Neodiprion lecontei: one gene and its partner. The protein of the gene in region 2 purifies or fractionates together with the protein of the main gene of each other region. This does not show direct contact. Links are inferred from orthologs where the notes say so. Each region holds a gene or a part of one and is shown on either strand. Other genes may lie near its edges.

Region 1 (8,317 bases), on a different chromosome or scaffold from region 2:
AAGTTACAGCCAAAAAACCAGAACCTGAATTTTCGACATTTTTCAGCAGGTGCTTTTTCGCTCGCCATTTCTCTCCTGTTGGTCCTACGCTCTTTTCGCTGCGATTTCTGAGTTCCTGAGGGTCCAATTGGTCGGATAAGGATCGTTTAAATCGAATCTGAGATCAAAAGTTTTTTGCCAAAAAAAAAAGCAAGGCTAACCCCTTTCCATTTTTGGCGAAAATTTTCGCGATTTTGAAAAGTGCTGGAATCAATTAATTGTAGCACTGATCGGACGTAATTTTGCGAGAGAAATCGATTGGGCGCAGTCCCAATACGCTGCGATCAACGCATCAAAAGTTACAGCCAAAAAACCAGAACCTGAATTTTCGACATTTTTCAGCAGGTGCTTTTTCGCTCGCCATTTCTCTCCTGTTGGTCCTACGCTCTTTTCGCTGCGATTTCTGAGTTCCTGAGGGTCCAATTGGTCGGATAAGGATCGTTTAAATCGAATCTGAGACCAAAAGTTTTTTGCCAAAAAAAAAAGTAAGGCTAACCCCTTTCCATTTTTGGCGAAAATTTTCGCGATTTTGAAAAGTGCTGGAATCAATTAATTGTAGCACTGATCGGACGTAATTTTGCGAGAGAAATCGATTGGGCGCAGTCCCGATACGCTGCGATCAACGCATCAAATGTTACGGCCGAAAAACCGTAAAACTTCCTAGTAATCAGTAGCTGTTGTCCCATCGCTGTTTCAGATGCGCTTCTTGCATTCCATAGTCACAACTTATCACGACGAAAGTCTTTTAAATTGATGTCAGTCCGAAAAATTACTTTCACAAAAAATCGTAATAAAGCAAAGCTCATCAGTTTCAATCACAAAATAAATGTTACGGACATTGCAAAGAAATTCACACAGTATTTCTAATATGATAGGGGAAAAAAATCACAAATCCATAGTTCCAAACTTCAAGTTTATGTAATAACACTTATTCCTACTACAAGTGTTCGAGTGTCAGTGTGCAGTGATTGACAAGTTGCCACATTGTATAAAAATGAAAGACAAAAAGAAGAACAAAAATGTGGTCGATCATTACTCTATAAATCTGACGAATACAAGAGAAAAACAGCGTGCAATATGTCTCATCTTAAGCAAAATATGATAAAATATTACATAGGAGTGTCATTGTTGTAGTTACTTATGATAAGTATCGTTCAAGATCCGACTTGCGTAACAACGCAACGCACCTCTGCAAGATACGATATATTGTGTATCACATAATAATATTGTCACTGTTTCATGTAACCCGCATTAAAATGATTAAACAATTGTAATTTCCCACGTTATATTCTTATCTTTTCATCTGTTGATCTCCCAATGATTTAAACGCCTTTTTGGAAATCCTTGAGGTCCAATTAATCCAGTAAGTCCTACGAATAGAGTCTGTGAAAAAAAATGCTAAGTCTAAAAATCAAGAATAGTAACGCTTACTTTGGTCCGAACAAAGGCCCATTGGATTTTTCATGGAAATTATCACCATTTTAAAAACTGTTGGAATAATTTCTTTGACGTACTTACCATATCAACGTAACTTTGCGGGTAGGATCGATTGCGCGCAGTCCGAATACGCTACGAGCAATGGGTTAAGATTTACAACCGAAAAATTAAAGATCATCTTCGTAATTTTTTTGCTGATGTTCCTTTGCTCTTTTTGATGATCCTGAGGGTCCAATCAGTCTAGAAATGTTCGTACAAATCGATTCTGAGACGAAAGATTGTTTGTTCCAAGAACAAGTAAGGTCAACTCCTTTCGACTTCCGGTGAAAATTTTGAAGATAATGCCAAAATCAATTCTTTGTCGCACTATATCAAATCTAACTCAGTGGAAACGTTGTTTTCCCACAGCTTCGCGATTTCACGTATTAATTATCATTAAAGATAAGCAATCATCTAGTGCCATCTACCATTATAGTAGGTGAGTATGTTGTGATGTGCAATGCCCACACGACTGCCTTGGTGTACCGACATCATTGTTCAATCTTTCCTTTTTTCGTCAAGTACAGACACTTGATCCACTGTTATTGACGTAAATAACAATATCTCCTCCTTTTACCAGAAAACATTACAACTCATGCAAATCATATTCAACATCTTCTTTCGTTGACTAATGATTGCTACAGACAGTCAGCCCTGGGCATTATTTTGTTGGGTGCGTTCCGACGTTAGCTAGATGCGCTAAAAACTCCCTAGGCCAAAGGTTCTATCCGCGAACACGGCAGCGCAAAAGAGATAAACGATGGTTGACAGCTCCAGAAGCTCATATCAGAACGGACCCGAAGCAAGCACAAGTGCAACGTGGGCGCGGAGATAATGGCAGTATCTTTTATTTATCGATTTGATTAGGGGGCATTGAGTGGGTAACAGTAGGAAATTTCTTTACCGAGGCTTTCTTCCCCGCCTCACATTCTTGCGTCGAGTTTCAATTCAGCTTGCCCGTCCCAAGCAATATTCAATCAACGCTACTTCTCATTTTTTATGGGCCGCCGCGTTGGGACTCCGTTCCCTCTTGATTAACCTAAATATGCCCGTCTCTGGCTAACGTGAAGTAGAGGGTTTCGAATATCTGAGCTAGCTTTAAATTTCCCTGGCGCGCCATTCGCTTGTCACGACGGCGGCCCGAACTTCCGTATGACACGTATGCCGTCCGCAATCTTCGTCACGAATCAGTTTTAAATGCTGTCGTTCCTTTCGGAACTACTCAGCGGCGTTATATTTTGGTACAATTAATCCACGTTTTTAAATCACGACGAATCTCTGCCTCAGCTTCTGCTCCTTAAGAACGCGGGAGGAAATCGTACGTATGCTCTTCTTCGGCCGTGAGGCTCGCGACTTAAGGCAAACATAACCTACATGTGTGTCCGTCCGGCCCTCCCATCCTAGAATTACTTTGAATTAAATTGAATAAATGAGCTGTCTGAGTAAATGGTTTGTCGCAGCTTTTCCTTGTCCTTTGCCGACTTGAATATTTCTCTCCCACATCGCTATATATACTGACACTTTGGAGGACTGTTGAAGGTTTCAGTGCATGTGTCAAATTCTCCAAACTAGAATAAGATTCATCCACGAACTTGATACTATAGTATATGTAAAGAGGTGAAAAATCCAGTATTTTATTTTTCTAATTTCAGCCCCAATTTCCACCATGAGTAGTATTGCAGAACAGCCATGCTACACACTGATAAATATTCCAATGGATTCGGAGCCAATCAACGAGCTCCAGCTGAAGCTCGATCTGGAGAAGGGTGACACCAAAACTAAAATTGAAGCACTCAAGAGAACGATACACATGATTATCAGTGGCGAAAGGCTCCCTGGGCTGTTAATGACCATTATAAGATTCGTGCTACCATTGCAAGACCATATGGTTAAAAAATTGCTACTCATTTTTTGGGAAATCGTACCAAAAACTTCTCCAGATGGCAAACTACTTCAGGAAATGATTCTCGTCTGCGATGCATACAGAAAAGACCTGCAGCATCCAAACGAATTTGTCAGGGGATCCACTCTGAGGTTCTTTCAGATTCTTATTTAGCTCTTGCCTAGCAGTTAAATTTTTTGTGTTTGACGTCATCCTTTACACCTAATCTTTTAGATTTCTCTGCAAACTCAAGGAGCCTGAACTTCTGGAGCCTCTGATGCCTGCGATCATAGCCTGTTTGGAGCATCGGCATTCGTACGTTAGGCGAAATGCAGTTTTAGCCATATTCACAATATACCGTAATTTTGAGTTTCTCATACCGGACGCTCCAGAGTTAATCGCAAAATACTTGGACGGTGAGCAGGATATGTCCTGTAGACGAAATGCATTCCTCATGCTGCTCCATGCTGATCAGAGCAGAGCTCTTTCCTACCTAGCTGCTTGTCTTGACCAAGTTCCAAGCTTTGGCGACATCCTTCAGCTTGTTATCGTCGAACTGATTTACAAGGTAAGCTTTCTGCAATTTAATTATCTTTCAAAGAAAAAACAAAGTCCATATTTCAATGTATTTACGAACTCTAAATTCATATTATTCTTGCAGGTGTGCCATGCAAATCCATCAGAGAGAGCTAGATTTATCCGTTGCATCTATAGTTTGCTAAACTCACCAAGCGCGGCTGTTCGGTATGAAGCTGCTGGTACACTGGTTACCCTGTCTAGTGCCCCAACAGCAATACGAGCTGCTGCTGCATCCTATGTAGAACTGGTAGTTAAAGAGAGTGACAATAATGTGAAGTTGATTGTTCTGGATCGACTTATTGCCATGAAGGACAGCCCTGCCCATGAAAGAGTATTACAGGATCTTGTAATGGATGTGCTTAGAGTTTTGGGTGGGTTTAGCTCTTTGCTGCTCAAGAATTTCTTGGAGATTTACAGTTTTACCTGATTGAAATCATCTTCTAGGATCTCCGGCGTTTGAAGTCAGGACAAAAACCCTTGCCTTGGCAATGGATCTGGTATCAAATCGAACCATTGACGAAATGGTGCAGCTGCTTAAGAAAGAAGTGATGCGGACTGCTGGTGGGGAACACGAAGATGCTGGTAGATACCGTCGGCTCCTGGTTAGGACCCTACACGCCTGTTCAATCAAGTTCCCAGATGTTGCAGCAACTGTTATACCAGTTCTAACTGATTTTCTCTCTGAAAATAACGAAGCTGCAGCCACTGACGTTCTCATTTTCGTTCGTGAAGCCATCCAACGATTTGAGCCACTCAGGCCACTCATTATAGAAAAGCTATTAGAAGTAAGAATCTCATTCCCTACCTCTTATCGAATGTCACTTCATTATTAATTTTTCTGTCTCCTGTTCGCTCAGGTATTTCCACAAATTCGGTCGGTCAAAGTACACCGTGCAGCTCTTTGGATCCTTGGAGAGTATGCAGTTTCAAAAGAAGACATCGAAGCTGTAATGAGTCGCATTAGGGCCGCGCTTGGAGAGCTACCTTTAGTCGAGGCAGAGAATAAGAGGGCGGCTGGTGACAAGCCGGCCGAAGACGGCGCTGCCCCAACTTCAGCAGCAAACCCGGCTCAGCTTGTAACCTCGGATGGAACGTATGCTAGCCAGAGTGCGTTTAGCACAGCATCGACTGGTCAGTTCATGTTCTAAAGACAATTTTTACAAAATATGGGCGAATATTGCACTGTGATTGTTCTTTCAGGTAAAAAAGAAGAAAAACGTCCAGCTCTGGTCCAGTACATGATGGATGGTGACTTTTTCATTGGTGCTTCCCTTGCTACAACCCTTGCTAAGCTTGTACTGCGCTACAAAGCTCTCGAGAACGATGCTACAAAGAGCAACAGGATGCAAGCAGAAGCGATGCTCATTATGTCTGGTGTATTGCAGCTCGGTAGATCCGGGCTTCCGACTAAAGCTATGACCCACGACGATGCTGAACGACTGACCGTGTGCCTGAGGTCACTAGCCTGTCCTACACCCATCATTCAAAAGGTCTTCACAGAGGGCTGTAGAGACGCCCTCAGCAGAATGTTCGCTGCTAAAGCCGAGGAAGACTCGCAAACTCAAAAGGTAGCGTGCTTTCTCATGACGATCATAAGGAAGTAATAGGAACAATTTAATCTACGGGCTATAATTTTTTTTCGATTAATAGGCAAAGGAAAAGCCGGGCAGCATCGTACAAGTTGATGATGCAATCCAATTCCTGCAACTCAGCCGTAATTTGGATCTCACTGGAGGCGCGGGAGACGTCTTCGAGCAAAGTCTTAGCGTGGCGGTTGCTGGCAGGCCAGGTATAAAGAGTTTAATGTTTATTTACAATGTCGCGGAACCAACAAATTTACGAAAATCGATTTTTCATTCGTGAATATATTTCAGGCGCGGCAGGAGACGCACCGGCACCTAGCGCCTTGAGTAAAGTAACGCAGCTCACAGGATTCTCCGATCCCGTATACGCAGAAGCTCTGGTCCACGTCAACCAGTACGACATTGTCCTCGACGTTCTTGTTGTCAATCAGACGGAAGACACCCTCCAAAACTGCACGTTAGAACTCGCGACAATGGGTGACCTTAAACTCGTAGAAAGACCGCAACCCATAGTTCTGGCGCCAAGAGACTTTGCCAGTATCAAGGCGAACGTAAAGGTCGCGTCGACGGAAAACGGCATTATCTTCGGAAACATTGGTACGTTTTCTTACACCCCTTTAGTAATCTTTAAATGAGAATTTGCGAGATATCGTCAAGCTAGTTTACCTACAAATAATTTTCAATCGTCTGGTTGGGGAACTTCTTCGGAATCTTAATTATGACAATTTCATCTTGCAGTATACGACGTGTCAGGCGCCGGTTCGGACAGGAGCGTGGTAGTCCTGAATGATATTCACATAGACATAATGGACTACATAGTACCAGCAACATGTACCGACAGTGATTTCAGGCGTATGTGGTCAGAGTTTGAATGGGAGAACAAGGTGTCGGTAAACACGACATTGTCAGATCTCCGAGAATACCTCGCCCACCTACTTAAGTCGACCAACATGCGCTGTCTCACGCCCGAAAAGGTATGGCTTACTGTAATTTTTATGAATCTATTTCAGCAAGATAAAGTTTCTTCTGTTATTTGACGATCTTCTACCGTTTCTTTCTTCTTCAAATATTGTATTCCTAATTCTATAAATTCTATTATAAACAGGCTCTTTCTGGCCAGTGTGGATTCATGGCTGCAAACATGTACGCAAAGTCGATATTTGGCGAAGACGCGCTCGCAAATTTGTCAATTGAAAAACCGATGCACAAACAGGATGCTCCAGTTGTCGGTCACATTCGTATCAGGGCTAAGAGCCAAGGTATGGCGCTTTCATTGGGCGACAAGATAAACTCGACGCAAAAGGGGCCTCAAACTAAACTCGTCCAAGCTGCTTGAGCACCGTCTGATTTATTCGAATTATGATTATTATTCATTGCAACATCATTCATCAGCTATTGATCGCGAGTAAATAGGCCGTTACTCTCTGCCCGCGATAAATTACGCATAATGATACTGAAAACGGAACGAATTGTCAAATTTCGAATCCGAAGATTACTGGAGATTCCATTTTCATCTATACTAAGCGAAAAAGCCGCGTGACTCCGGAGGACAATTGAGTCCATGCACCTGACCGGCGTTGGAAGCGTTGACTATATGATTTTCTGTAACATTTCTAACATTTGTTAATATTATTATTATTATTATTATTATTATTATGATTATACATTCATGTATCAATGAACATAAAATAACACATCTTAGGACTTTAGCAAATTATTCCAGTATCTTGTTTCAATATTATTCATGTCGGGACGTTCGTTGTAAGTGAAACCTATACATATGCGGTACATACATAGATTATGCCAACACATAACATAATATACATTTATTGAGAATGAACAATGTACCAGAGTATTGCAAATAAAACAGAGATTAAGTACGCACATGTGACGTCCATCATCAGTCTATCCCTTCTCTCAATACTATAAGTATGTTTTGTTTGGGACGCACCACTTTAAATACTCTTAAGTAAGATTGTTCTAAAAAGATGTTTTTTCGGCTTGTTAATAAGCATAGATATATAATAAATTATCAGGACAGTGTTTAAAAGTATTACAACGAATGAAAAATTTGCTAATACTGTGCCATAAGCCGAACTCACCGCCGCATTCTAATTAGGCGAAACTTTCTTGAACGCGTTTTACTTATGTCCCACTTTCGAACGGCTCGCAAAGAAATAGATATTGATCTTCGCAATCACCTTAATTGTTTTTAGTGTTGTACAAGGCACTCTGCAAATTGCCAAAGGCGTCTAAACTCCGTCCCGAGATATCAGAGCCAGCCTCCTCCTCTCCTTGGTGATCTCAACGGCGCAAACCGCGGCGACCTAGGTACCGGCTTGACCAGTCGTCGTTTATCGTTGTTCAAGTTCTCGGTTCCCTGCCCTAACTCCGGAGTGTCCGGGGTAACAGAAACATCCGGAACTTTGTTCGCCACGCTTTCGGCCAAAGGCGACGACGTTTGCTGCCGTGGAGTTTTCCCCGGACTGACACGCGCTCTGTTCTTCTTCGGATCCGAGATCTTCGACGTCAGCGGTTTCACCACTCGACCGGGACTCCGTTTTACAGGCTTCGGCTGCTTCTCATCAACGTATCCAACAACCGCCGGGGGTCTCAGCTGATCGGAAAAGATACGCTGTTTCATATAACCCGTATTTTTTCGCGCATTATACATTAAACAATCATTCAACAATCCATATCTGAGTAAGCTTTCTCTCTCCGCCGCGATTTATGATTGTCAAATCGCTTACACTCGGCT
Region 2 (6,173 bases):
TACAGGTGATTTCGCCACCTATCTCTCCCTCTCTCTCTCTCTCTCTTTCTCTGTTTCTTCCCCTCTTTTTCTTACTTCAAGCAAATCATTGAGTAGAAATTCAGCAAGTATTCGTAATACTCGTGGTCCCATTATTAAAAAGTAAATATGGGACGAAGGAGTAGACAGAATTTACGAAATAAATTTATTCATGATAACAACCACATATATTATATTATGTTATTATTGTTGAAGGCATTTGAATGCATATAATGTAAACGTGTCAGGAAATCATTACTTTCGGAAATCAAGAACAGATGTATACCTTCGCAGGGTAACGAAATAGCAAATAATATTGTGCTTACATCATATCATGTTTCATCGTTTAATATATAAGTGATGTAATTGAAATATCTTATAATATTTACCAAATAGATTATAGACTGTATACGGAACGCGAGAGCACACTGTAAAATCGACAATACATCAATTTATCCGTGGTTTAAAGTTTTGGAAGCGATAATAGGCGCGCGTTGCACGTGTCATTATTGTAATTTAAGGCAAACATCATGTAAAATAATAAACTGTACATATTATGAAATTAAATATTATAAATACGTGAACTTTGTGACGTCAAGCTTATTACTGTCGCGTTGGCCATGCAACATTTGCAGTGACCGCATGTGCAGTAAGTTTGATAATTTATAGCATGTATGTACAGTGTGTGGTGACGTTATTCCATTGTATTCAAATATACTTTACAATATCCCGCCAAGCATGCCATTCGTCGTATTTACAATTATTGCAATACGTATGAACCATCTCGTCAATTACCCTTCTAATAATAAGTAAAGATATTACATATATCTCAACCTACATTCTTGATACTGTAGGTACTTTATAGCGCTAGAATGACCAAACAGAGAGCTCATCAGGTTAGTGTGGAAGGTATAAAATTTTTATACGCAATTGCAGTAGCAATTGGCGGTCCTGACTTTTTAACTATCAAGTGGAAAATGCAGGTCATATGTAGTCAGTTTCATTAAACCTGCTTAATATTGTCGCGCTCGGGTCTCCAGCTAGTCGCTGGAGAGAAAGACGGAAAAACAGTGGGAGAGAAGGAATACATAGCTGTCTTTCTCTATCGGTTTCAGTTGCGTCCACAATCCTCCATAACTAGAAACTACGGACTTAAGGTCATGTAGTGGTCCTACTCTTACTGACCGAGCAATCTCGCCCTTTTTGGAACGAAGTTCCTTATCGCTCGTTCACCGTAGGGGCTAGGCGGAAAAAAACGACACCAAAAAACCGACACTTTTTGGCTATAGTGCTCGTTTGCTATAGTGCGCGCGATCTCCCTCTCTCTCTCTCTCTCTATTCCAGCGTGTGCGCGCGCTCTCTCTCTCTGTCTCAGCGCTTGGGGTGGGAGACGGCAGCAGCGGTCTCTCTCACTCACAGCGCACGACTATACTTCGCCCCTCTTTCTCTCTCCTACAGCGTACAACTATACTTTGGGCCGCAGCGCGCTCTCTCACAGCGTACGTCTATACTTTGCCTCTCTTTCTTTTTATATCTTTCAAAAACACATTCGTACGATTTTATTACCATTCCTTCATATATTTGATTTTTCATTTAATTATTCTTCAATTAAACGTTCTTAATTTATTCAATGAGCAGTAATATAGCGTAAGGAACTTCGTTCGTACCGGCTGTCCCATGACAGCTCTCATGTTTTTTTCTTCCTATATTAAATAAACAAACAAATTAAAAGGATTCAAACACTGAAATTACAGTTCAGTGGGTTGAAAAATGCTCTCGCGTCGAGTTGCCGCGACCATGCGAACCAAGGAACGTGTTGCCGCGCGCCCAACTGATCGTGACAGCTTCTTTTATTTACAAAATTATTGTAATTTCTAGTTCTCAACTAGCGACCTCAATATTGCGTGAGAACAGTTTTACGATAGTTCATTTCACTCCTCATTCTTCCTGGAATTGCGCAAAGTATCTCAGCTGTGCGCTTTTTGGCCCCTGAAATGTAGGAAATATGGAAATATAAGTAAGACGTGTCGAAAAACCACACTTTTTTTGACGGTTTTCAGGATATGAGTAACTTTCCTGAATTACTTGAAGAGCGATGCACCCTCGAAATTTGAATATACCTATATATCGGTCAACGCATGTGTAAGCATGCGGTCTGACTTGTTCTACGAAACTCCGCTAGGTAGCGTGCCTCTGCACGCATCGTTTTGCAGCATGAGCATGTTTGTCTATGATCGTAAACCGACCAATGCTTATGGGCGTCGGTAACAGCTTGGGTAACAGCCATCAGCAGCCATTCTGTCAAGTTTGCTAGTGACGTGTCTAAGTGTATCGCTAGGTGTATCTTGCTGTCGATAATGCGATTGTGATAGAATTCCAGGCAGAAAAAACCTACGAAATGTTGACCAAGTTCGAAACAAAATCCGCCCGCGTCAAGGGCTTGTCTTTTCATCCTAAGAGGCCCTGGATCCTTGTTAGGTGAGATATATTTCACGTACATGCCGTCTTGTCGGATGGCAAGGGCTTAGAGCAAATTTCACTTAGTAATTTCTATACGTAAGAAATTGGATGTTATTCGTGACCGAACGTTGGTCTCAGTTCAAGACGCAACACTCAATACCCAAGCAATTGACCGGGTGTCTTACAATGCCGACGTAATTGAAGTGATTCCGCAGCAGACGGACAGACACGTCATCAATTTTTGACATAACCTACAATGCTAAAAAACCTAACCTTCCTTGAGATAATAAGCGCTCGGTCGATTAGGGTTTGTATACAAATACTTAGTAATTGCCGCTTTGTTTACTAGACAGATTCAATTTTTCCTTGTCAGTATTAAAATTTTACGTATTCAAAGACAACTCTGTCACATTTTTAACCAAACTTTAAATACAAAAAAAAAACAATCTACTTACTGACCTACGAATCACTTGATTCGTGTTTTTTAATTCCGCTACCAATTTTCGAATACTAGCGGCACATTCCGAAAGTTGACCGCATTTGTGTCTCTAACAGAATTGATCAACAATTGTAAAATGATGATGACGGTCGTGCGAGTACATTTCGGAATACAATTTATTGATAACTCGGAAATTCTTAACGAATTATTATCGGACAAATATTTTAGCGCACCTATTTATCTAGCATGTCTCATGGCTCCATTAATAGGGACTTAGGGAGAACGCGAAAGCGACCGCCCAACAGTGTCTTTTACTTTCTATAGTAAATAATTTGAAATGGCTTACTGGCGGTTTGTAGTTTACACAATAGACTACTTCTCGAAAAATTGAAACAATCCGTTCCCTAGAAATAGGTCGCCCAAAATTGGCTTCAACGGACTGAAAGAGGATGCATTGGTGTGGAAATCTTTCAACGAAATAAAGCAAACGTGGCAGTCTTGATGTACAAAAGAAAAAAGTAAATTATAATTTTTTATTCGATTCAATCCCAATATATACACGTCAATGTGATAAGTTACATTTAAGACACGGAAAGGGCTATTTCATAGTTAGACTGCCTAAAAAAGAAATATCTGAACTTCTCAAGGCTATCTAAGCCGTCTCCTACTGCCTTGAACAGTGAATTTAACTTAACTTCCGATGGTTATATTAATTAATCAAGCAACAGCCATGGAATCGCTAACAACCGCGGGAGTAGTTGGTTCCACAGATTCGGTTGCAGTCGAGCTTGAAGGCGATGATGTTTCCGCGGAGATTGTAGTCGACTCTGTAGAACTTTCTGCGGATTTTTCTGTCAACTGCTCAGTAGACGTTGGTAATTCAGATAGCTTTGCGGACATTGCTTGATCGGTAACGGTGACTGAATCCTTGGACGAATCTTCTTCGGTTGTTCCCGAAATCACGTCACTTGTGGCAGACTGCTCCGAAGTACTCTCAACCTTCTCGCCGGTTCCGGAACTCTGGCCGACCTTCAACGGAATCATATCTTGAATTTCTTTCAAATCCTCTGGCATGCTTTCCTCGGACTCCCCGGAGATGTAATTGTTCACCGATGGTGTGAAGATCGGGTTATGATGCAACGACGGAAATAGCGGATTGTAGTATTCCTCAAATGTCGGGTACAATGGATTATAGAGACCCTGGTAAGAGCTGTACTGGTTGTAGAACGGCTCGTACTGAGATCCAAAGTAATTCGACGGCCCATAGCTAGAGAATCCGGACGATAACTGAGGATAATAGGAATTGAAACCTCGCAGTCTCAGGATAGGGTAAGGCGCTTGGAACCCGACACCCTTTTCCGGGATGAACACCTCATCTGGTTGGTCTTGCTTCGTGCCTTCCGTCGGGTTCATGGCTGGAGACAACGCATCATCCTTCGGGACGGGCGTAGAAGTTTCTATCGTATCAACCGGGACAAGTGGCACGGCCGTTGTTGTTTCTTTGTTCATTTCCGCGACTTTCACCTTCTTGTCATCTTCAGTATTGCCAAGGTTGGAGGCTGGAGCCTTGATAAATGGCATCGAACTCAGCTGATCGCGCATAGCACTGACTTCATTGTTCATTTTGACATCCGATTCCGGCCCAGTGACAAAAACGACTTCGGTTTGCCCGCCAGCGAAGTCCTTTGTGAAGTACGAGTAACCCGCAAAATCAACATTTCCGCCGACCGGCGAACTGTAAATGAGATGCGGGGTGAGCGACAGAGGAGCATGAAATTGCGGGTACGGAAACTGGAAGGTACCGAGCGCTGATCCGACGTATATTAGAACCTGCGTGAGAAATTAAAAATTAATTAGGAAAATGAAAGAAGAGTCATGGCCGTCGGCGCGATAAACATCAAAGAAATTTGGTACTTACTAAGCACAAAGGGGAGTACCAGATAGCCGACATCTTGTTGAAGCTAATCAACACTACTGCACTGATCGAAGAACTCCTAAAGACTGCCAGTCTTGTCGGAGACGACGTAATCTATATAAACTCCGTTAGGATCACGAGCAAACACCCCACCAACAATACTTACCAGAAAACTCTTGTCGTCAAGCCTCTGACCCGGTTCCTCCGTATGGCCCGAGGGTACGGTTTGTTTCTTCGCCGTTACTCGGCGAATAAACCGAACAATGTAAAATCCTGATCCATATATTCACTGACTCACCCAGTGCGTCGACTGCACTAACAAATTGTCGTGCATCGAACGTATATTTTACTTTTACATTTTCAAGAAAGCGTTTTTAATGCTAATGACAGACACTAGGAAGAATCGATTTATCCCTTTTATCGAATATCATTCTTTACACTCATCATCATAAATTCTTGATCAGAAATAATGAATGATCACTTTGTAAGGTTGATGCATCGTTGATGAAGAAATTTAACCAAGGTAGTTATACCAGCACGGCTCTTCACACCTAGGACAAGTACCGCTAAGATTTTTTAGCGTCTAGTCATGTAAATTATTTCACGAGTCGTTGACTCTACTCAGTAAATAGTTTTTCAGCTGCCTCTTCGAACCGAGTTCAAAGACCCGTCTCGATGTTATAGCCGACTACCTGCATATCGTCCGATTCTTTTCGGCCTCATGATTTCGCTGTGCAACAAGTATAAAGAAACTTTTTCCGCGACACTGAGTGGGTGTAACCTGAAATTATTATCTCCTGTGACGAGTTCCCTTTCTCTCGCACTATTCTTTTAATTCGTGGCAAAAGACAAACCTTGAAGTTGGTCCAGAGCCTTGAGACTTTTAATGATCGGTCAGTGTAGAAAGGTTGCAAAATAATTATTGAATTCGTTATAACTTCGATTTAAATTATTTTTGCACGATGCAGTAGAGAGATGCACTGTGTTCTGCTCAGCAATTTTAAAGGCCTTGCTCGTTTAGACACTTAAGATAGTCGTGCACAGAAACGATTACTAAGATCGATCTTTAGAGGCAGCAGAATTCTGCTATTGTCAACTTTTGAAGAGTTAAAGAAAATGAAAACAAAAATACCCGAAAATTAACTTTCTATTCTCGCATTGCACCCATTCGTGAGACGTTCCAAATTACATCATACTGACAGTGCACTCGTGAATTCCTTGTCGCGCTGCAAAAAAACAAAAAACGTTGGAAGAAAAAGTTGTTTAATGAAGGTGTGCGATGTTACGATGCTCAGAAAGTGGCACGCCTTTTGGCAAGGACGGTATATACATTTATTATAG

Evidence for each region. The genes of interacting proteins can lie anywhere in the genome.
Region 1: the proteins of coatomer subunit alpha (region 2) and coatomer subunit beta fractionate together in Homo sapiens (co-fractionation; 6 studies listed by BioGRID and IntAct, with this or other methods). This does not show direct contact. The link is inferred for Neodiprion lecontei from reciprocal best matches to the Homo sapiens genes COPA and COPB1.

What each region holds. Positions count from the first base shown.
Region 1 is NC_060265.1:2,315,004-2,323,320, reverse strand, and holds coatomer subunit beta, read left to right. Parts: upstream 1-2,637; 5' UTR 2,638-2,833; intron 2,834-3,167; 5' UTR 3,168-3,181; coding exon 3,182-3,549; intron 3,550-3,631; coding exon 3,632-3,965; intron 3,966-4,058; coding exon 4,059-4,347; intron 4,348-4,420; coding exon 4,421-4,761; intron 4,762-4,833; coding exon 4,834-5,107; intron 5,108-5,176; coding exon 5,177-5,544; intron 5,545-5,626; coding exon 5,627-5,765; intron 5,766-5,850; coding exon 5,851-6,156; intron 6,157-6,297; coding exon 6,298-6,533; intron 6,534-6,664; coding exon 6,665-6,895; 3' UTR 6,896-7,443; downstream 7,444-8,317. Other genes in the region: transient-receptor-potential-like protein, read right to left, coding at 7,832-8,176, 8,310-8,317. UniProt on the Homo sapiens protein: The coatomer is a cytosolic protein complex that binds to dilysine motifs and reversibly associates with Golgi non-clathrin-coated vesicles, which further mediate biosynthetic protein transport from the ER, via the Golgi up to the trans Golgi network.
Region 2 is NC_060264.1:35,964,031-35,970,203, forward strand, and holds the start of coatomer subunit alpha, read left to right. Parts: upstream 1-2,288; 5' UTR 2,289-2,416; coding exon 2,417-2,496; intron 2,497-3,436; exon of another isoform or gene 3,437-3,634; coding exon of another isoform or gene 3,635-4,747; intron 4,748-4,835; coding exon of another isoform or gene 4,836-4,868; exon of another isoform or gene 4,869-4,942; intron 4,943-6,173. Other genes in the region: uncharacterized protein LOC107217266, read right to left, coding at 3,635-4,747, 4,836-4,868. UniProt on the Homo sapiens protein: The coatomer is a cytosolic protein complex that binds to dilysine motifs and reversibly associates with Golgi non-clathrin-coated vesicles, which further mediate biosynthetic protein transport from the ER, via the Golgi up to the trans Golgi network.